Pelodiscus sinensis: one gene and its partner. The protein of the gene in region 1 interacts with the protein of each later gene in a biochemical or structural test. Links are inferred from orthologs where the notes say so. Each region holds a gene or a part of one and is shown on either strand. Other genes may lie near its edges.

Region 1 (11,215 bases):
AAATCTGTTCTCTCACCAAAGCATCGTTAAGGCTTTTCTTGATAAATTGGAACTCTGGATCATAAGAGTCGAAGGCAATACGTTGGTTCAATTTCCATATGTGGATGCCATGCTCGGGGAAAAGGAAGCCATTCGGACGCAAATTCTCGATCATTTACAGAAGCTACAAGATTAATTCCAACGATACTTTTTGGAGGTGGACAGGACAAGGGATGGATTATCTTTCGTCAGGAATCCATTTACAACAGATGTTAATAGTGTTCCAGAGGATCTGCAGGAAAAATTCTTGGATCTGAAAAATGATTTTGCGGCTCAAGACATGTACCAGCAGTCTACCATAGAGAAATTCTGGGCCAGCGTGATCAGAAGTTACCAAAATCTGTCAGCACACGCAGTCAGATTTCTTTTGCCATTTGCATCAACTTATATGTGTGAGATTGGAATTTCGTGTTTGTTGCACGTTAAGTCCAAACAGAGGAATCGGCTTGCAGTGGAAAGCAATATTCGTTGTGCATTATCAAGTACCACTCCAAACATTGAAAAGCTTGTCAGTGAGAAGAGAATCCCTAAAATTTGTTAGTAAGAAATACATTTCAAATCAAAATATTTGTTGTCTGCTCTTTTTTATCATGTCTCAAAATGGAGGTAATCCATGAAAAATTTTTGATTGGCCTGGTGGTCCGTGAACTGAAACGAGTTGAGAACCACTACCTATGGGTAAGAGGATGGTGGGAAAAGTTCTTAGAGGGGGTTACTTTTACTTCTGGTCATGTGTCCATCTTGACCCCGAGAGTCAGGGGCATAGTAAACAGAGGTCAGGGGGTGCAGGTAATGTGTCCCTAACTTTGGTTCAGAAAATATGGTCATCATTATGTCTACACTGGCGGGTTCTTGCGCAAGAACATCATGTGCAAGGGTTCTTGTGCAAAAACATCGTGTGCAAGGGTTCTTGTGCAAGAACACATCCACACTGCCATTTGCTTTTGTACAAGAGCATCCATGGCAATGTGGATGCTCTCTTGAGCAAGAAAGCTCTGATGGCCATTTTAGCCAAAGGGCTTTCTTGCACAAGAAACCCCTGCCGCACGTCCACACTGCCCTCTTGCACAAGAAGGCTTTCATTTGTTAGAAAAGAGTGTAGCTCTTGTGCAAGAAGCCCTTTCTTCTGATGCCATACTGTAAATCTTCTTGCGCAAGAGCGGGCGAGCAGGTGTGGACGCTCTGTGGGTTCTTGTGCAAGAATCTTCCAGTGTAGACATAGTCCATATGCGGAGAAAACAGTTCAAATAGCCATCCTTTAAAGGGGCAAGCTTCCTTTTTTTTTTTTCCTTTTTTTTTGTGCTCAACAAAAATTCTTGGTGTTCCCCATAAACAAAAATTGTTTGGTGTTCCTCGGTCTTAAAATGTTTAAGAAACACTGATTTAGATGACCTATTGACGAACGTTCCAGGCCTGTCCTACTGACCAGTGTTCCCCATAAGTTGAATGCTGGGGCAACCACCCAGGAGAGATTCAAATGCTGCTCAGTGGATTAGCAGAGTGCCCAAAGCTGGCAGCATGTGCTTCTATTGGTGGTGCATCTCTGTACATGCCTTGGTGCACAGAACAACATTTATTCCACGCTGGTATAGAAAAAATGAGCAGGAAGATGAAGATTGAAATGCTCCATTGCACCCCCCCCTTCTTCCTGCCAAGGGAGGGGAAGAGCTGGTACAAACCATGGGAGTGAGGTGGCCCTGGGGCTTTTCAATTGGAAGCTGCTGGCATCGGCGCCTGGACACTCCCCCCCGCAGAACAGAGGCGATAGGGCGGGACGGCTGGCTGCACAGCGACATCACTGGGAAGGGGGGCGGGGAGGTTCTGTCCCTTTAAATAGCCACTTCTCCCAGGCGGCCACGCGGGGTCGCTAACGCCTTCGCGCTGACAGGGGCGCCCGCTGCATTGCGCATGCTCTCGCCTCCCACGCCGCGTGCGCATGCGTATTAACCCCCCCCGCCTAGCCGGATGTTCATGCCCCGCGCGTGAAAGCCACTCGCGCATGCGCGCTCCCCCGCGGCCCCGCCCAGAGACGGGGATGAGGCAGCCGTTGAGGGGCGGGGGTGGAGCAGGAGGCCGCCGAAGCGGCTGTAGGTCCGCGGGCTGCTGTTGCTCTGCCTCGGCGTTCGCCTCCGCCTGTGGGGTGGGGGTTAGGCCCTTCGCCGGCCTGAGGTGAGGGGGGCAGGCGAGGTGTGAGTGACAACGGGCAGCAGCCAATGGGAAGGTGGCTGTTGGCCCCGCCTTCGGCCTCCATCACGTGGGAAGGGCCCCAAGGGTAGAGGCGGGGCCGTTGGAAGGGGCAGAGGTGGGGGAGGGGTTACAGGCTTTACAGGCACCACGTGACTGCTGCTTATTCCCCTCCTCGCCCATCTGTGCTCTGCTCCCAGTGCTGGGGGAGGGGCTCTGGTCTGGGTGACAGGCCTGGCCAGGAGCAGGACCCTGCCATAGCCATGGGTGCTGTATCCCCGGCTTGTTTCTACCAGCACGGCTACGAATTTTGTATCTAGCATTCTGCACACTCGTGCCTGTCCGCAGGTATCCCTGTCCGTGGATGTAGCTGTGGTTATCTGTGGCTCGCTTTTGCAGAGGGGGATACGAATTTTGTATTGGTGCAAGACCCTAGCCATAAGCCTCAGCCCGTGCCTGCCCTGTTTTCCCCACTGCATGAAGACAGAAAGGAAAGTGGCACTATTAACTACCAAAGCTAAGAGAGTCGGTTTTGTGCTTCGCCCCTTACACCATCCTACTTCTCACACTACTGAGCTGCCACTCTTTGGCCAGAAATCACATTGGCTATTCAGCAAAGAAGCCAACTCCTCTGTGAAAAGTGTCCGAGGAATAGCCATTTACTCAGTGGCTACATCTAGATTGCATCCCTTTTTCGTAAAAGGGATGCAAATTAGAGGTATCGCAATTGCTAATGAAGCGGGGATTTAAATTTCCCCCACTTCATTAGCATAAAAATGGCTACCGCTTTTTTTCGGCACGCAGCTTTACCGGAAAAAAGCGCCAGTCTAGACGTGGATCTTTTGGAAAATAAAGCCTTTTCCGAAAGATCCCTTATTTTAAGAGGGATACAAAATGGCACCTTAGAGCAGAAGTGAGGAACCTAAGGCTCGGGGGGCCACCCAGCATTGGGGAGCCTGCACTGTGTGGCTCACAACTGTTTTTTCTGTGGCTCAGTATAGGGATTTTAAATATTAGTTAGTTGAATAGTTGATTAACCTCATGAATTCTTATTGGTTACTTGGCTATTCTGTAGTCCCCAGGGGTGGGGCTGATAGCCAATGTACCCCCTTCCACTCCACGCTGCTGCCTCTGCATCAGAGGCAGCAGCATGGGGAGCCAGGTAGGAACTGGTCTGCAAGGGGAGCCAGTTTAAAAACCAGCTACCCTCGTGGACTAGCCTGTCACCCCACACTGCTGCCTCTGATACAGAGGCAGCAGCGTGGGGTGGTAGCAGCCCATGTCAGGGGGAAGGGACTGGTCTGAGCTCCTGCTCCTGGTGCAGGGCTGCCTGCCCACCGAGCTTCTAATACACTTTAAATGCAGAGTTGCACCAATGGTAGGTCCTAGACCCAGCACAACTGAGCTGAGCTGCTGGTGAGCCTGCTAAAAAAAATTCTGGCAAAAAGTGGGGGGAGGAAATGCATGTAGTCTATAGCATTAAGTGATAAGCTTTTGCTTATCGGTTAAACAACTACACTATTACATCCCTAGGTCAGTGGCCGCTGACCAAAAAAGGTTCCCAACCCCTGCTTTAGAGATTAACAGATTTATCATGGTAAAAGCTTTTGTGGGTAAAACCTACTTAATCAGGTGAATTGGAGTGTAAGTCACAGCAGCAGAAGTGTATATAAGGAAGGAGTTGCTTGCGTTAATGAAGCTAATCAAGTCTAGGTGAAAGTGGGTCTTTCATAGCATTTGTTCTGAACATGTGAATATTCAGAGAGGGGAAATTGCCTTTGTAATGTGTTGTACTTCTCTGTGAGCAGCCAGCTAAGAGGGAGTTTCTGGTAACATACAGCTACCATCAGCAACTAACTGGTACTTCTCCCATAGCCAGGGAAAAAAGAGGGTCCCAACAGTCTACCCTGGATGGTTGTAGAAACTATGATCACTGTGACAAATTTCCAACTCCTAGCAGCAGTGAATTACATCTGTAGGATTTTCTTCACAATAAAGAGTGCTGAAATGTTAGCCTCCCTCCTCCAAAAATTAACAAAGGCTAAGACAGAAATTGTTGCAGAGTCACACACAACACCTAGCAGGAGGATTAATGAAGCTAACTCAATACTATACCCCCAATAGGTCCTGTAACAATTATTCTTACCGACTCTCCTTTTCAACATATATATGAGACCCATTGGAAAGATGATGAAATGCTCTGGGTTTTAATTCTGCTCTCTCTGATGGTGTGCAGCATCTTTTTGTCAGCAAAGAAGTATGAACTCTTGTGTTCTAGATATACAGATTACAATATTGGCTGAAAGACCAGTCCATCTTACCAGGAGCAATTTCTTGTGAATGAGTATGTATCAATTGTAATCAACTTTCTCCTTGCTTCTGTTAACTGCTGTAACTCCACTTGGGCCTGAAGGTGAATACATAGAAACTCGTACAGCATGCAGCTGATTTTCTTTAAGGAATCCCCTTTTGCTCCATTCATCTGAACAAGTAGGTTGTGCCCAAGGAAGCTCACCATACGATGTATATTTTTTGTTAGTCTTTGAGATGCTACCGGACCACTTGTGTTTTTTATTTTTTTTTAAAGTTACAAACTAACATGGCTACCCCACTAAGACTGTCAAGAACCAATCACACTGGGACTTAGCATAATCCAATGGCTCCCAGTTCACTCTGGTACATAAAAACAACCACCATAGCAGTCCTGCATGCGGGAATTTCTGTCAGGGGTGTGTGCACTTTTTTGAAAATGTGGCCCACAAGGGTGTGAATGCACTTCCCCTCCCATCTTTCCCCAAATAAATGGGGAAATCAGCCCCAGTCTTCCCTGACTGGTCAGAGCTTGGGCGGTGCACTGTCCCTACCTTCCCCTGGCTGGCTGGAGCATGCTTATTTGGGGGATCATAGGGGGGTGCTTTCACACCCTTCACACACACCCTGCATATGGGCCTGCACAGTGAGCTAGCCCAAAAGCTTGTCCTCTTACAGTGATCACTGCCAGATTCTTCAGAACAAATGAACAGAGCAGGGCAATTAACAAGCTGCTGATTCCCTGTTAACCACTCAGCTTCTAGCAGTCAGAGGTTTAGTGTCAACAAGAGCATGACCCTGACCACCTTAGCTAATAGCCAATGGTGGACTTATCCTCCAGGAATTGATCTACATTATTTTTGAACCCAACTGATAATTCAGATACATGAATATCAATCTTTTATTTTACAAAACACTAAGACTAGATCTTGATTATTTTGGAGATCACCTTGACATCTGTGACCTTGTGAAACACTGTGCTTCAAGCCAAGGGAATACTCTATCTGAGAGTCCAGGTGAAACTTGCAAGAGCAGACCCCTCAGCACAGTTTTCAACAGGAGCCCCTCAAGGGGGGGATGTAAGAACCAGTCCAAGCCTCTTTGCCAAGAGAATGGATTTTAAACAAAACAGCCATAAAAACCCAGGTCCATGTAAAGTGTCAGAGCAAAGTATGTTGGTCAGGTAGATGCTGTGTTGAGGGCTTACTGCAATGCTGGAGAGAAAAGGCAGCTTGCTATGTTTAGTTCCAAAGATCTGGGGTCTGGTAAGGGGGTGGGGCAAGGGAAGGGTTAGAAGACTAGTGAGGGAGGGACAAGAGGGATGGGGAGCAGGGCAGCTCAATGCATCTTGTGGGAGGATCAGGGAGTAGCCTACGTGCTGAGTCAGTAGTTGTCTTTCTCCTCTGCAGCTGGTCCGAAAGGGGCGGTGAACAGATTTCCCAGGCCAGAGCTTTCTCCCGGCAGCTACTGTAGGGGGTGAGTACAAACACGGATGTATGCTCTCTCTCCAATGTGTATTCTGAGGGGAAGCCTATGTATCCTGTTTGGTACAGATCCTTGTACAAAAGAGATGAGGCCACTCTGCTGCTTCCCCTTGTAGGACCTAGGACAGGGTGGAAATGGGGCAGAGAGAAGTTGCTTTGGTAAAATCATAGAACAAAATAAAATGCTTTTAATAAAGAGCAATGAGATGAAAGTGACTGCAGTTGGTGACTTAACTACCTGGTGATTTTTCTGTGGCACTATAAGGTTTCCTAATACAAGTAGTTACAGAAAGCTCTGAATACAGGAAGCCATGGCCCCCCCTTTGGCCTATAGATGTTGACTGTATAGATGTGATGGCAAAACACTGAAAAAGAGTGTATCTGGGACACATTTCTATAGAGTTATTTCTGTTCTTACAATACTCTAGGGGTCGTTAGTAATATTTCAGGGTTTCCCTGAAGAGTGCCAAGTCTCTCTTTTTTGATCTGAGGAAGTGGGTCTGGCCCAGGAAAGCTCATCACCTAATAAACCGTCTTGTTAGTCTTTAACTACATAGTCCTGTTTTTTGTTTCAAGTCTCTCCCAGTGAGATCTGTGTTTGTATGCATTCCCTTTCCTTGGAAACCTCCCTCTGCAATGATTAATTACACCCGAAGTAAGGCAGCATAGATTGAATGTGCTTCCAATCTTTCCTTGCTTTTCCTGGGCACCCTGAAACTATTCTATGACTTCCTCTCCCTATCTTTGCTACCAGAGTAGGGTTGAGGGTGTGGGACTCCAGTAAAATGCAGAAGAGGTCTGTAAAGGATTCCCTACGGTGGTAGCGGCACTCAAACCTAGCAAAGAGGAACTGTGCACCTTCAATGCACCTGGAAGCTTGTGAAACTCAGCCCAGGGATAATCCTCTCTGGAATGGAAAAAGGAAAATCATGTTGTAAAGCTTTAACCAGCTCCCCCGTGCTGGCTGCCAACTGCTATTGTTCTAAACTGAGCCTCTCTAATTATTGGAAAATGTTACTTGACAGGAGTGAGAGAACGGTGCATTGTTCTTTTAGTGCGCAAGCCAATATTTCAAGGGACCTCACCCAGTAGTACCGGTCCCTTTAAAAAAAAAATCAGGAAGGGCTTTGATCTTCTCCGGGAGGCGGGGAGGAAGGGGGCGTGCGGGAAGGAGGGTTCTTTGCGTTACTGCAGCAGAGCGGAGCTGCATGCACCACTCAATCAAGGTAATGGAGGAACAAGCGGAGGGTGAGCTCTTGGGGCTTCAAAGCCTCTTTGCTTTCAAATTTCCAGCCTGCAGGGTCGCGCCGTCGCTGCAGCAAGAGCTGCTTTTTCTTCTCAGGCTTAGTCTGAGACTAAGCAGCTGGGGCTGGCTGGCTACCGAGCCTTTGGTGACCTTCTGCAGAGGTATAGAACCCCTCGACCTTCTGCGCAGCTACATCACAAAAGAGCTTTCAGGCTTTTCCTAGGTCATGGAGAGGTGGCTGAACTGCTTGCGTTTCATGTGACTTGTGGCTGTTTCAGAAGCAAGTCCAAGGGGTTTCAGCCTAGGGCTCGTCGAAATGGATGGCTTTCCATCAGTTTTCTGAGCTTCTGCCTAGGGTGTAACCGCAGACGCTCCAGGGTCTCAGTGTAGGAAGAAGCTACTGATGTTAATGCCCCAAATGTGAGTATAATGTTGTGTTAACAGTTTACTTGCCTCTCTTTTCCCTCTGAAGATTGTCTGCTCCACATTCTGAGGTTTGCCTTGACCCCAGAGGAAAGCAGAGCCTGGAACTGGTAAGCACGCTGGTCAGCTCGTGTTCTGGACCATGGACTCGATGAGAATCCCCCTAATGTGAAAATGTCGAACACTAACAGGGAATTAGTGATTGACTTCCTCTCCTACAAGCTATCGCAGAGGGGACACAGCTGGAGCTGGTTCGAGGGGGAGGATGAGATCAGGACTGAGGCTGCAGAAGAGGCGGAGATGGCAAGCGTCCCTAATGGGAGTCCATCCTGGCATCCAGGTGCCAGCCACGTAGTGAACGGGGCTGCCGGGCACAGTAACAGCCTTGAAGCCCATGAAAGGGTTCCGGCAGCCGAAGTGAGGCAGGCGCTGAGAGAGGCAGGAGATGAGTTTGAATTGAGGTATCGGAGGGCTTTCAGTGACCTCACTTCCCAGCTCCACATCACCCTGGGCACGGCTTACCAGAGCTTCGAGCAGGTGGTGAATGAACTCTTCCGGGACGGAGTGAACTGGGGGCGCATTGTGGCTTTTTTCTCCTTTGGAGGAGCCCTGTGCGTGGAGAGTGTGGACAAGGAGATGCAGGTGTTGGTGGGACGCATCGCCTCTTGGATGACCACTTACCTGACTGACCACCTTGATCCCTGGATCCAAGAGAATGGCGGTTGGGTAAGAATATGTCTCGCGTCCAAGGGGACGCGCTCCCCCTCATCCGACCTTATTGACAACTGTTGTACAAGTCTGCTTAAAATGTAACTGGCTGAGTGCCTTGTGCATGGTAGTAATGGTCTTAGATGTCCCTAGGGAAACAGACAGCTCGAATGGGCCTTTTTCCCCTTTCTTAGCGGTTTGCCACAAGGGGTCACTCCATTTTGGCAGAACAATCCAGACTGGTACCATGCCTGCCATCCAGGCTTGTCTGAATCCCTCTGCTTCTTAGCCTCCTTGGATGTTGGAGAAACCCTTTTGGCGTCCCGGTCATCCAGGATTGCTCCTGATGTTCCTTAGCATGACCGACAGTAGTCGGGAACCCAGCTCAGGACTGAATCTTCCTTCCACCTTTGTCCTAAAATGCCAGGGGTAGGCTTTGAAGCGGAGTGGGATGACATGCTAGCTCTTCTCCTCTGAAGACTAGAACTCCCCTTCTGATTTGCTCACCAATAGAGTAGGCCTTCTTCCCCGGGGTATTTGTCCTCCCCATTGTTTGAGAATTGAAGTACATAGCTAGAACTACCTGAAGAGAGGCAGCTAATACTCCTGCTGTATGCCTGGCTCCAATCACAGTTGTTTTCCCCTGCTTGCCTGAGCACCGAGCTTGTGGACACTTTTAGTGGATTTGTGCTTGCACCAGAAGGCCTGCACTATGGACGTGTTAGGTCCACGGGATGTGGGGCTTGATTCTCTACCATGGTAGCGAGGCCTATAAGAGTACAGGGAGGACAGTGCCAGCTACTCGAATTTAAGCAGTGGAGTTTTGTTTCCCTTGCCCATTGAGGAGCTGTGGTTTTGGGACTAGTGTTCACTTTCCCAGCCCGGCAGGTACCTCCCCCTGACAGGTAGAGGGGACTTCAGGAAGTGCAGGGGAGTATGGAGACAAGATTGCTCCAGCCCAGCCTTGCCCTGCAACTGCACCTGCCACAGGTGAATTGGAGCTGGCCTCTTGGCGCTCACCCAGCACTGGACCCAGGACACGAAGCCTTGCTGAGGCAGGAGGAGGATGTGCGCTCCAGCCCAGGAATGCTTGGAATGCAATCTGCCTGGGGCACTGCCTGGGGTGTGGCTGCCCAAACAGACTGAATTTTGCTTCACGTTAATAACCAAGGCGCTCATTCGCCAGCTCAGCAGGTGGTCTCTGGCCCATGAGCTCTCTGGCCCTGCGGGTCCTCCTAGCAGAGCTGAAGCTGGGTTTCATCCCTCCCCTCTCCAGGGCTGGCTTTCAAAACTAGAGATTAGCTGTGGAATGGGGTGATCCAGTGGAGGTTTCCCAGGCTCTGTGGCTGTTGCTGCGGGTGACGATGGGGTTGTCTCCTGGAGACCTAGGCGATAATGCAATCTGATTTTGTAAATGAACTCCCTGGGAGATTTAGATTAAATCACTGATGGAAAGTCACTGGTCTCTGCTTGTTGGGAATGCAGTACCCCTCCCCCGCCCCAGCCAAGTATCACAGCTTGGTTGCTTTGTGTCTGAGCACAAATTCATTGTTTGAAACAAATATTTGTTCAGCAGATTGCATGAGGGGCAGGATTCCTTCCTTTCTGACACACCCACTGTCTCCTGCTCTTAAGATGGCTAAGAGCTGCTGTTTTGGCTAGACAGAACAGCAGTTTTGCTCCGAGCTGGTATCCCTGTGTTTATTTTTAGCTACCCTGGCTGGCTTGTATCATTTGTGGCAAGCTGGCCCAACTGTGTAACACACTAATTTGCACAGGGAGGCGGTGCAGATGCCCAGAGAGGAGGTCTGGGCTGTTTCTGTAGAAAAATGTAGGGTGCAGTTTCTGTGTGTCCATTACGGGGGCTTATGCAGATACCAGACTAGGAGCTGTGATAGCTTTAGTAGTGCTTGTGGCCTTGTCCTCATAGGGTTGCCAAGTGTCCAGTTTTGAACCGGACAGTCCAGTATTTGAGCTTTTCTGTTCAGGAGACAAATTAAGAAAATAGAAATGTCCGGTATTTGCTAAATAAGATGTAATGTCAACTGTGTCCGGTATTTTTGTTGAAACCACCTGGCAACCCCGTGTCCACACTAGGTACTTTTTGGCCCCAGATTTCCTGATCTTGTTCCCCTTGTTCAGTTCTGCTGTTGCTAACAATAGTGCTAATGTAACTGGCTGTAAAAGTTCAGGAATCCTCCTGATGTGTGGGGGAGGGTATCGATATCTTTGCTTTCACTGTCCCCTGCTTCTGCATGCAAAGAGAAACCATTGGCCTCTCCCATGGTAAGTCTGCACGAGTGAATGCTCTTCCAGGCCCAGTGATGGTGGATCAGGACTGCTGCTTACGTACAGTGTGTGTGGTACTTGCTATTGCTTGGCCCCTGCAAACAATGCTCTCACAAAAAGGTGCTGTAGCCAAGTCCCAATCAGATGTATGCAAGTTCTGGCTGGCCTGTTCCTGGCATGTACCTGATGTTTGTTTTCTAGAGTATCACAGCATTTCACTACTGCCAATCTCTGAGAGAGGGCAGGCGTAGGGGTGGGAATGACTAGTTGACGCTCCGATAAGCAAATGTTTATCGGAAAGTCGACACACTAGTCGACTATCTGTCTTCCCCTCTCCCCTCACTGCCTCTATCAGAAAGAGGCAGCAGGGGGGTGTGAAGAGGAGGGGTGCTTCAAAACGGCAGCACCTCATGGAGCCTGGGGTCTGCTGCTTTGAAATGCCTCATGCAGCCCAGGGCCAACTGAGTGTCCCCCCGACCCTGGACTCCACGCAGAGCTACAGCTTTGAAACACCACAGGGAGCACGGGGCCA
Region 2 (10,395 bases), on another chromosome or scaffold:
TTAGCAAGTTTGCACCCTTAACCCAACACATTCCCTCCTACAGCTCCACTCCAAATAGAAGTATCTGGTTTACAGTTTAGCTCTCTGCAAAGGTACACAGTAGCTGGGAAGCAGCCAACACACAGACACTGCATAAGTCTCACACATCATTGCACCTTTATACTTAATCATATTAAGCACAAGAGACCACACAGACCAATAAACAGTGCGCACACTTCCTTCCTCAGTTTCCTCACCACTCCACAGCATTCTTGCAGGGCTGGGGTCAGAGTCTCTTGACTCAGCCACAGCACCTGGGGCCATCAGGAAAGCAAAACAGGCCCCACCTATCTCTTGCAACAGCTATATGTTGTCTCCCACCCACAACTTCCTCTTCCTGAATAGCTCTCCCTTATTTAACCACCTCCTGGCTGGTTATTGAAACCTGAGACACCTGTCTAATTTTGTTCTACTTCAGGTAACTTTCCCCAGCTCCTACTTTCCCCTTTCTTTCCGGAGGGGTAAATAATGCTGGTCTTCTAAGGATGCAGCTGTTCTTTAGCATAAGGGCAGCTGTTACAGATTTGATGGCTCCACATACAGATAGGCACTCAGGATACAGTAGCTTTTATAGGAACATTTAAAATATCCAGACTTCATGAGTTTGTATAGACAGCTTCCCAAATGCTCACTGGGATAGACATGGCAATATCCGGGCCAACCCATATTGAATTACACTGAAGAATGTTAGGAGTTCATAATCATTGTATTAAAAGAAAAAATGTTAATGTGTGAGGCTACGTCTACACTGGCCCCTTTTCCGGAAGGGGCATGTAAATTTCACCAGTCGTCGTAGGGAAATCCGCGGGGGATTTAAATATCCCCCGCGGCATTTAAATAAAAATGTCCGCCGCTTTTTTCCGGCTTTTAAAAAAGCCGGAAAAGAGCGTCTACACTGGCCCCGATCCTCCGGAAAAAGTGCCCTTTTCCGGAGGGTCTTATTCCTACTTTGAATAAGACCCTCCGGAAAAGGGCACTTTTTCCGGAGGATCGGGGCCAGTGTAGATGCTCTTTTCCGGCTTTTTTAAAAGCCGGAAAAAAGCGGCGGACATTTTTATTTAAATGCCGCGGGGGATATTTAAATCCCCCGCGGATTTCCCTACGACGACTGGTGAAATTTACATGCCCCTTCCGGAAAAGGGGCCAGTGTAGACGTAGCCTGACTGTGTATAACTTCTTTAAAGGGAACACTGGCCTACTGTAACCCCTAGGACATGCTATGAGCTTCAAACGACCATTTGAAGCAATGCACTAGCCAGGCTAGCATGTCTAATTGAGTGGATTTCCAGGGAAATACTTGATTGAAGGAGAATGCAAATTAGCCATCTTTGGGGACCCAGCCTTTTGAAGCCATCTCTGAGGAGAAACTTTTTGTTGAGCGCTTCTTACAGGAGGAGATCTGAGTCCCAAACTGGATAAAAGCATGACTTAGAGATTTAAAGGGGTGCTTGTTTTTATCAATTTATCCCCATAGTAAAATTCCTGTCTAGCTTTTCAGGACTGGTCAGCAGTAGAGCCCTTGTTAGACTAGCGGGATGATCCCTGGTAAGTTTTTTAGTATGCATGTAGGTTCTTTTAGTGGTTGTAATGTGTTTGCTCTGTAATCTTCACTACCTGAAGGATAAATGTGCTTGCTTTGAAATAGCTGTGTGGTAACTTTGCTATGACCAATTACACTGTTTGTAGCCTCTGTGAAGAAAAGCAAAGTTGACCTGCTTAGATGGTTAGACTTTGCTGAGAAATTTACAGTATAGGCAGAGAACCATGCAGCCTAGAAATACAGTGGTCAGGAGGGAGAGAGATGATGGCCATCAGAGGGGTGAAGGCTGAGGAGCCAGAGCCTAGAGTAGCTGCCCTCGCTAGAACATGAAGGGAGAATAAAGGTGTAGTTGCTCTGAATTGTGTCACACTATGCCATTTAATATACTTGGCTTCTTCTCACCAGGTGTCCAATATTGGCCCGGATAGTCCGGTATTTGCCTCCACTGTCTAGTAAAAAAACCCCAGAAAATACTGGACATATAAAATGTCCAGTATTTTCTGTTTTTCTCGGACGGAAGGCTGCTTGGGACATTCTTCCCCTGTCACATATGGCGGGGGCGGGGGGAGGGAGCAGGGACCATGGGAATTTAAAGGCACACTGACTGGGTTTTTTTTTGTGCGGTTGTTTGTTGTTGTTTTTTCGGTTGGTTGGGTTTTGTTTTTGGTTTTGCTCAAACAATTTTTTTCCGGACATGTTCTGTATTTTTTGTGAAAGTATCTGGCAACCCTATGTCTGTCCACACTTCTTGCATGATCCGTTAGCTGTTCGGAGTTTGTTGTGGTGGGGGAAGATACAGATACATCACTGTGGGAGTGGGATGGATCAGAAATTCTCTCTTTTCCCTGCTCTCTAAGCCCACGCCAACTTTCTTTGTAGTTTGGTTTCCTGTGCACAGCTGGGGAGAGGGTAGCGGGTAGTACACAATGCTGTATCACTACATTTCCAGGAAAATCACAATTATTTGTAGAGGAACCATTGTTCTTCACCAAACTGCACTGAAATACAGCCCCAGGGATTCGTGTGCAGCTTTTTTTTTTTTGAACTTGAGACAATAACAATGCTTATACAATCAGCACATGGCCACGTCACCTATTCTGATGTGCACTAAGGTATGATCAGGTTTACCAGCTTCCTAAAACTTGCTTTTCCTGTTAGCTGTGAGGAACTAGTGTCTTGTGATCGAGGAGTCAGATATTTGAAAAGGTATTCCCCTTTAAATGAGAGGATCCAGAAATGAAAGCAGTGAGCAAACAGAGCACTCTATGCAACAAGTGACTGCAGTGTGGGAGCCAGTTACTGCTGCATACGCCTCAAAGAGGAGCAAAAGGAATGGCAAACAGCTGTGCAAAGCACTAAGAGAACAAATACCAGGGCCCTCAAAGGAGGCGGGCATGAGGGACAAAGGAGGCAGTTGCCCCTAGGCCCAGCAATTTAAAAGAGCTCCAAGCTACCAGCTGCCACCATTGCTACCATGGCAGTGGCAGAACCTCAGGCCCTTTAAATCACGGTTGGAGCACTGTAAGGCACAGTCCAGGGGCAGTGAGAGCTGGAGGAGGAAGGCTAACCCTAACCCCCCCTTCTTCTGCCCAAGGCCCCACCTTTTCCAGAGCTAAGGTCCCCCACACACACATTGTCCAGGACCTGGCAAATCTGTCACCAGCCCAGTCAAATACTTCCGAGTAGCTCCAAAAAAAATTAAAAATGCAAACAGAAAAAAACAAACACACAAATGTGTCAAATAAACAAAAAAAACCCAAAACTTTTTCTGCCTGGAAGATTTATATCCTGCCTACCAGGGACTTTGCTCTTGACAATCTACTTCATGCTAAAGGTACTCACATACCATGGTGACGGGTAAAAGTCTCAGGAGTAGTTGTGTTTAGTCTGTAACTTTAAAAAAAGCTTAAAAAAGTAGTGGTCCTGTAGCACCTTAGAGCCTAACAAAAAATATAGATAGTATTATGAGCTTTCATGGGCACAACCCACTTCTTCAGATGACAAATATGATAGTGGTGTGATGATGAGTGGCAGTGTAAACCAGACAGACTGCCACAGAGGTCAATTAGCACCAAAACAAAAGCAGCTCTTTAGCGTCAAAACAGGGTTACAAAAGAGCCTTCTAGTTGTAAGCTTTGTGCCACCCTAAACAAACACCCTCTGCCTACTTGGTGTTTGCACCCTTCCTTCTTTTAGGGAAATAAACTTCCTATTTACTGGTGAATAGTCTTATCAGCAAACAGCAAACTTCTGGGAGGAGGAATGAAAGTGGATGCAGGGTGACCATCCTTCACTTCTAGGATTATTACTGGGCAGGATTTTAGACAAGGACTACACTGAGCCAAAGGCTGAAGTAATGGCTAACACACCTGCCAGCACACCATAGCTCCAAGTGGACATGGTGTACCTCCTTGGAGCACGGTTACTCTTCCGTCTCCCTGTGCATATACTGCTTTGGGCCTCCTATCTTAACATAAGAGCAGGAAGGTGCATTACACAGCCTTTCCCCCCACGTTCACATAAGTTCTGCTGCCCTAGGGTCAGGGAGAAATGGGTCAGGGAGCTTCCACTCCTTCTTCCCCTCCCCCGACCCCACTCAATGCATCAAGGACAGAATTTTGCCAGCATGTTTCTGAAACCAGCTGATGCTGTTGGACAATAAAGGTGGCACTACGATTAAGGTAAAACAGATGAAAACCTGGTCCTATTGACATCAATGGGAGCTTTGCTATGACTTCTGTAGGGCTAGGACTTCACCCAATCTGTGCAGTAAATATAACAGGTTAAAGTGCCTCTGAACAGAGCCAGTACAAATGGCCTGATAGTCAAGTATGTCCAGTCACCACTAATATAGTCAGCATCTGCAGGCATTAGGTACCAGAGGCTGTGGTTACATGGAGAGAATTATTATTTCTCATCAGCCATCATAGACACATATTATTGTCTGGCATTTTTCTCTGATTAGAAACTGCTTTGAGGGGTGAAGCCATCATTTTCTCTGTTAATGTCATTCACTGACAAATCCTGATTTTAAGAGGAATAAGGGATCTTCTGGAAAAGGCTTTATTTTCTGAAAGATCCCATCTAGACTGGCGCTTTTCTCCGGCAAAGCCCCGAGCCGGAAAAAAGCGGCAGCCATGTTCATGCAAATGCCGCGGGGGATATTTAAATCCCCCGCGGCATTTGCAATTCTGACTTGTCTCATTAGCATCCCTTTTCCGGAAAAGGGTGCCAAGGTAGACACAGCCACGGTGTCCGGGGAGCAAGAGCCCAGTCTTAGTTCCCTGGACAGCCAGCCAGGCAACACAGCCACAGTGCCCTCAACACCTGTGCATCAAGTGTGTAGGTGGCATGACTACTGCGCTGCCATTCCCAGTACAGCGGGTGGCACAGCTGCAGAGCCCCAAATCCCCATGCTCCAGGCAGTTGGGCAGAGGGGCTACAACACCTCCAGCCCCTGTGCACTAGGCAGTGTGGCCACATGCTCCGCATCGCTTCTAACCGAGGTGCTCAGGGCTATGTGGCTACGGTAGCCCCAACCCCAAAGTGTCAGGTATCTGGGTGGTACAGTCTGAGCACTAGGTGGGCAGCGCAACCCCAGCATCAGTCCCTATGAAACAGAGCCCAGCCCCACCCAGAGCAAAGCTGGCAGTAAATGTCAGGAGAGTGCCCGGCCTAGGGATGGAGCCAGACTGCTTGGGGAGGCACAACCTTCATCGCCCATGTATTATAAGGTTGCCAGATACATTCACAAAAAATACCGAACATGTCAGGAAAAAAATTGGTTGAGCAAAAAACAAACACAAAAAACCCCAACTGCAGCAGGGGAAGAATGTCCCAGAAAAACAAAATACTGGACATTTTACATGTCAAGTGTTTTCTGGGGTTTTTTTTAACCGGACAAAGGCAGCAAATACCAGACCCTGTGGGCCAATACCGGACACCTGGCGACTCTAATGCAGGGCTAGGATAGAGACAGCTTAAGCTCAGCCAGGGCTCCTCTGGGCCAAGACCTGAGCCAGGCTTTATTGAGATGCCCTGAGGACCGCCCAGTGAGCCTGGACTTGGGAAATGCATTTTGCAGCCTGATCCAATTCCGAGCCCAGTGCCCAGGGCTCAGTGCCTGACAGCGCTAGACCAGGCTCAGGGAGGATGGCCGCTCTGCAAGGCTCAGGCAGGGCTTGGGGACTTGGGGACAGTCAGGGCTGCGGATCTGAAACCATCTCCCATAGCTCCCGCCTAAGCCCAGGGCGCCGCCAAGGAGCGTGCCAGGCCTCACACCGCGGCCGCTGCTCGTCAGGTGGCTCCTCGCACCGCCTCCCGCGGGCCCGGGGAGGAGGGGAAGCCGCCAGTCCACGCTCCGACTAGGGCAAGTCCAGGCGCGCCCGGCAGCAGCCGCCACGTGCCCGGGCGCCGAACCAACTTGCCGCAGCACGCCAGCCCTGCCGGCCGCTGATTGGCTGAGAGCAGGGCCGCGGAAGGCGGGATTCCCTTTTGCTTTTCTTACCTCATCCCAGGCTGGGAAACCCCCCCAGGCAGCGGCACCTTTATCGCGCGGCGGCGAGTCGCGGGCAGCCAGAGCCCCTGAGGCCAGCGAGAGGAGCGCGTCGCTCGGCACCGTCCTGCGCCTGACACGGTCCCAGGCAGCTTGATCGCAGCTCCCCGCGGGTCCCGACCGGCAGAGCGAAATGATGCCCGGAAAGCCCCTGCGCAAGGGCGCGCAGCAGCCCCCGGCTCCCGCTGCAGGTACCGTGGGCGCCCGGGGACTGAGCCGGCCTCAGACCCGCGCTGGAGACTGATGATCGCGGGCTAAAGCCGTGCCGGGGACTGGGGGGGTTAGAGAGTTTCGCTGCGTTGGGGGCGGTTTTGCTTTCAGTTCCCTGCGAGCCGGGTAGGTTTCGGTTTCCCGCTCGCCGGTGGCCAAGGTAACAACCAGGATTTGGTAACTTCTTGCGCAGCGGGCCCTGGGGTGGGTGAGCCAGAAGGAAAGCTGGACGGGTGGTGTGGCCCGATGGGGCTGTGTCATTAGAGGCTCCGTACAGGGGTCAGTGGCTCAGATCGGTGTCGCCTGATACAGGAGCCAGCCTCATCCACGTTTTAGCGGGTCTCACCAGAGCTAGGTGCGCGGCCCCCAATTCTGGGCTCGATTTCCACCGCCACCCAGCTTTGGGGACGTTAGGCTCCAGGTTGTGAGTTCTAAGTTCCTTCCCCCCCCCCCCCCCCCCGCCAAACCCGGGCCTGTAAAATCATTGTAATGACCCCTCCTTGGAGAGTTCGAGTCTAGTTTCACAGCTATTTTTGCCAGCGAATTTCATTTTTTTTTTCAGAGAACAGACGCTCCTGTTGTCTGAAACAGCCGAGGCGGCTGTTTAACTGTACAATCTAGCGAGATCAGAACAGTTATTCTCTGTGACATGTCCTGGGATCCGTGCTAAATTCAAAAAAATGTTCAAAGAGTAGCACTGACACTTAGGGTAACATTTCTTGTGCAAACTATGGAATGGGAACATTTTATTACATTCTCCCCTGCTAAGAAGCTAGAGACCTACCAAAAGTTTTTAAAGGTTTCTGAGTTTTTATTTTACAATTTGAAAGGTTTTGAAACTGTAAATTTATGTTATCAGCTGTGTAAGCAACAGTGTACCTTTAACATGCCTCTTGTCCTCTGGTGTGAGATAAATGATAATATAAAAGCTATTGCCTGTAGACAAGGAAGTCGATAGATTGGTACAGAAACAGGATTTATGGTACAGAATTACCAAAGCTGAGGGCTGGTATTCCTTTGTTTTTAACAGAGCAAGAATCTATAATCCAATGTGCTTTGCAACTGAGAAAAATAGGAGATATTCTGAATTTGCAGCAGAAGATTCTGAATGTGATTACAAAACTGTTCTGCCCAGGAACGTGAACACTCTTTGGAGATGGCAAACAGAAAAGAAAGGAAGAAAACAATGGCTTTGGAAAATACGGTCTTTACAAGCCTGTGAAAAGCGATTTGAATGAAATGAGAAGATGGAATGAGCATTACTTACACTGATTGTTCCCACGGAAGGAAAGCTGTCGAAATAGACTTTTTCTGGAGAGCTCCACAGATGCATTTTCTGGTGGATGTCTGTGGGGGAAAACATTGGAATTAATTATTCCAAAGACTGACCTGTGGAGTGAATTAGAAGAGCAAGGAACCATGGCTTCTCATATGATAAGTGTGTTGATGTCCCACTTCATGAGATGCATCTAGTTCTATTGCACAGGCAGAAAATGCCAGTTACCTCCAAACACTGGATTGGAATGTACAATGAAAATTAAGTTCTTGGTTGTTTTTGTTTTCTAAAATGTAGACTCTGTTGGACAAAGCCTCGTGTGGAACATTATTCTTTTTTTATTGAAGCACATTTTCTATCCATGATGTAATTTGTTATACAGGTGTTTCTCTAATAAATAACATTGTAATTCTGTTATTTACAAGGTTGCTGCATGGCTCTATAATGTATATACATGCATGAAAAGAGTATTTCATGGAATTTAAATAGATGGTTATACACCAGAAATAGTGTAGATAACTATTCAAATGGTGCTATAAAGAATGCATTAAAAATTAAAGGAAGCATGGTAGCTTCTTGTGATTAAGAAAGTATAGCATACAGTCAGTATTCTAAGAAAATTACTGAATAAGGAAATGTAATATATTAAAGCATGTATTATATCACAAAATAAGTTAGAGAGGTGTGCAAGGTTGAAGGAGGATTCCTTCACATCATCAGAAGGGCTATTTAAGCAGAATAAGCTACTGTTTTAATTTTATTAGTTGGTAATAAAATTACTCTCAGAACAAATAGAAATTTAAACTAAAATGGAATCTGCAGTTTTCTGGAGAAAAAACATGAATTCTTTTTTTCAAAAGCAACTGCTTGGATAAAGAGATAGCCATAAAGCTGAATGTTGCAATAGTTATCAGAAAGCAATGTATTGCTTCTAAATGAAAGCTAAGACTTGGGAAATAAAGGTTAAGAAAAAAAATCTCAGCTCTCGTTTGGTGTCAAACCATTTTTGTTTGTAATTATGAACGAAGAAGCTATTATTTTGTCTAATGGATAGTGATGTTAGTGAAATGTTTGTTATAGCCTTATTGACAAGCTACATTTGTGTATGGCTTGGAGAATAGACTTGCTCTGTCATTCAGGCCCCTAAAAAGCAATTTTTCTGCTTATATATTTTAAAAGCCCCATGAGTCAAATTCAAGAGACAGTGCAACTGTCTTAGGCTTAAGACATTCCTAAGCCAAATTAATCAGTCTTAAATGATGGGCTAAATTATACATGGGGCGTATGAATAGTATGAAAATATTGTAACTTGCCTAAGTTTGGTATTATTTTGGTGTGCAAAATAAGGGTCAGTTTCAGGCAGAAAGAAGATGGAGTAAGAAAAATCACTTGAATTCTCACTCTTGCTTCTACTGCACTTTCTTTTTGCATAAAATTGCATCTGTCGTATTACCTTCTGAAAGCCAGATCAGAGCAAGTTATACTATTTCACTGCTTGCATCCATTAGGCGATCCTTTGCCTTTCGTGTGTAATTAATTCCATGCTAGATCACCAATTAATTTGGTCCTATGATGTTTCACGAATCTGTTTTCCTTTTGTGTTTTTACTGTAAAACTCTTTCAGTACCAAGGGCCAAGTATCCAGCTATCTGATTTGCTGACACTGATGTCATTTGGGATTATCTCAGCAGATGCTGGGGTTTTGTTTTTTGTATGTAAAGGGCCCAATCTGGCTCCCAGCAAAGGCACTTTTGCATTGGCTTGAATGAGAGCAGGAGTGGGTCCAAACATACAAGGTTTCCTCCTCTATGAGCTATCAGTTATTGTGTTCTCAGTGAGAATGTAGCATTTTGGGATGGGATTGTTTTATCCACCATGCCACAAGCTAATGTGACAAACATGAACTTGCCTCCCTAGAGGTACAGAATCCTATCTCGTTCAAAAGCACTTTTTCAGTTATTAAAGGGTGACTGTTTTCCTTTCTGCTATGCCACATTTTAGCTCACGGAATAACTCCATGAGACTAAGCAAAGCTGTTCATTCACGGTTTGCTCTAACGGACACTGAAATCAATGAAAAAAGGCTCCCTGTGGTTTCTGTGTAATTGAATAAAATGCCAGTGAGGTCAATAATAGTTATGTCAGTGTAAGAATCACAGGAAAGTTTAGCATTAAGGCATTGGGTGTTCAGCTCAATATATGCAGCCTTACAGTTAAATAAGATGCAACCAGGGTTTCAAATGGCCCCCATCAGTAGTTCCAGGCTGTAAGCAGAAATAATAGCATAAAGCAGTGAGAATGAACTGTGTAAATGTCACGGAGGCATTTCAGCTAGGAGGTGTGTGCAGCACTTTATTATACAGATTTCTAATGGCAATGTTTACTTTTGATGGAATGTTTTTATGTTGCTACATTCTAGTGTGTGTTTATTTGGTGATTGTTTAATGTTACATCACTCAGTCTGTTCAGAGTCAATGCAAAAGAAGAATTAGTTCAAAGTGACTAATATCTGTATATAATCTACAGTCTGGTTTTGTATTGTCTGGGCACAGATCCCTTGCATTACTTTTCAAAATGATGTGGCCTGACTGTATCAACATGAAATTGTTTTTCTCAAGGCATTTTTGGAGTTATGGCTTGATGTATTGTTATATGTCTTCATAAAGTGTGTCTGTTATTATCTCATTACGATAATAAACATGATATGTTTACAAGCAAATTATTCTTTATTGTAGAATCTTTTTTCTAATGATTCTGAATGAATGGTCATATTCCA

The links.
Region 2: the proteins of BCL2L1 (region 1) and PMAIP1 interact in a biophysical measurement, tested with the Homo sapiens proteins (3 studies listed by BioGRID and IntAct, with this or other methods). The link is inferred for Pelodiscus sinensis from reciprocal best matches to the Homo sapiens genes BCL2L1 and PMAIP1.

The regions. Positions count from the first base shown.
Region 1 is NC_134728.1:1,756,302-1,767,516, forward strand, and holds the start of BCL2L1 (bcl-2-like protein 1), read left to right. Parts: upstream 1-5,923; 5' UTR 5,924-6,009; intron 6,010-7,155; exon of another isoform or gene 7,156-7,265; intron 7,266-7,273; exon of another isoform or gene 7,274-7,424; intron 7,425-7,735; 5' UTR 7,736-7,860; coding exon 7,861-8,412; intron 8,413-11,215. UniProt on the Homo sapiens protein: Potent inhibitor of cell death. Inhibits activation of caspases. Appears to regulate cell death by blocking the voltage-dependent anion channel (VDAC) by binding to it and preventing the release of the caspase activator, CYC1, from the mitochondrial membrane.
Region 2 is NC_134716.1:108,982,973-108,993,367, reverse strand, and holds PMAIP1 (phorbol-12-myristate-13-acetate-induced protein 1), read left to right. Parts: upstream 1-5,959; 5' UTR 5,960-6,267; coding exon 6,268-6,325; intron 6,326-6,378; exon of another isoform or gene 6,379-6,504; intron 6,505-7,374; coding exon 7,375-7,487; 3' UTR 7,488-10,357; downstream 10,358-10,395. UniProt on the Homo sapiens protein: Promotes activation of caspases and apoptosis. Promotes mitochondrial membrane changes and efflux of apoptogenic proteins from the mitochondria. Contributes to p53/TP53-dependent apoptosis after radiation exposure. Promotes proteasomal degradation of MCL1.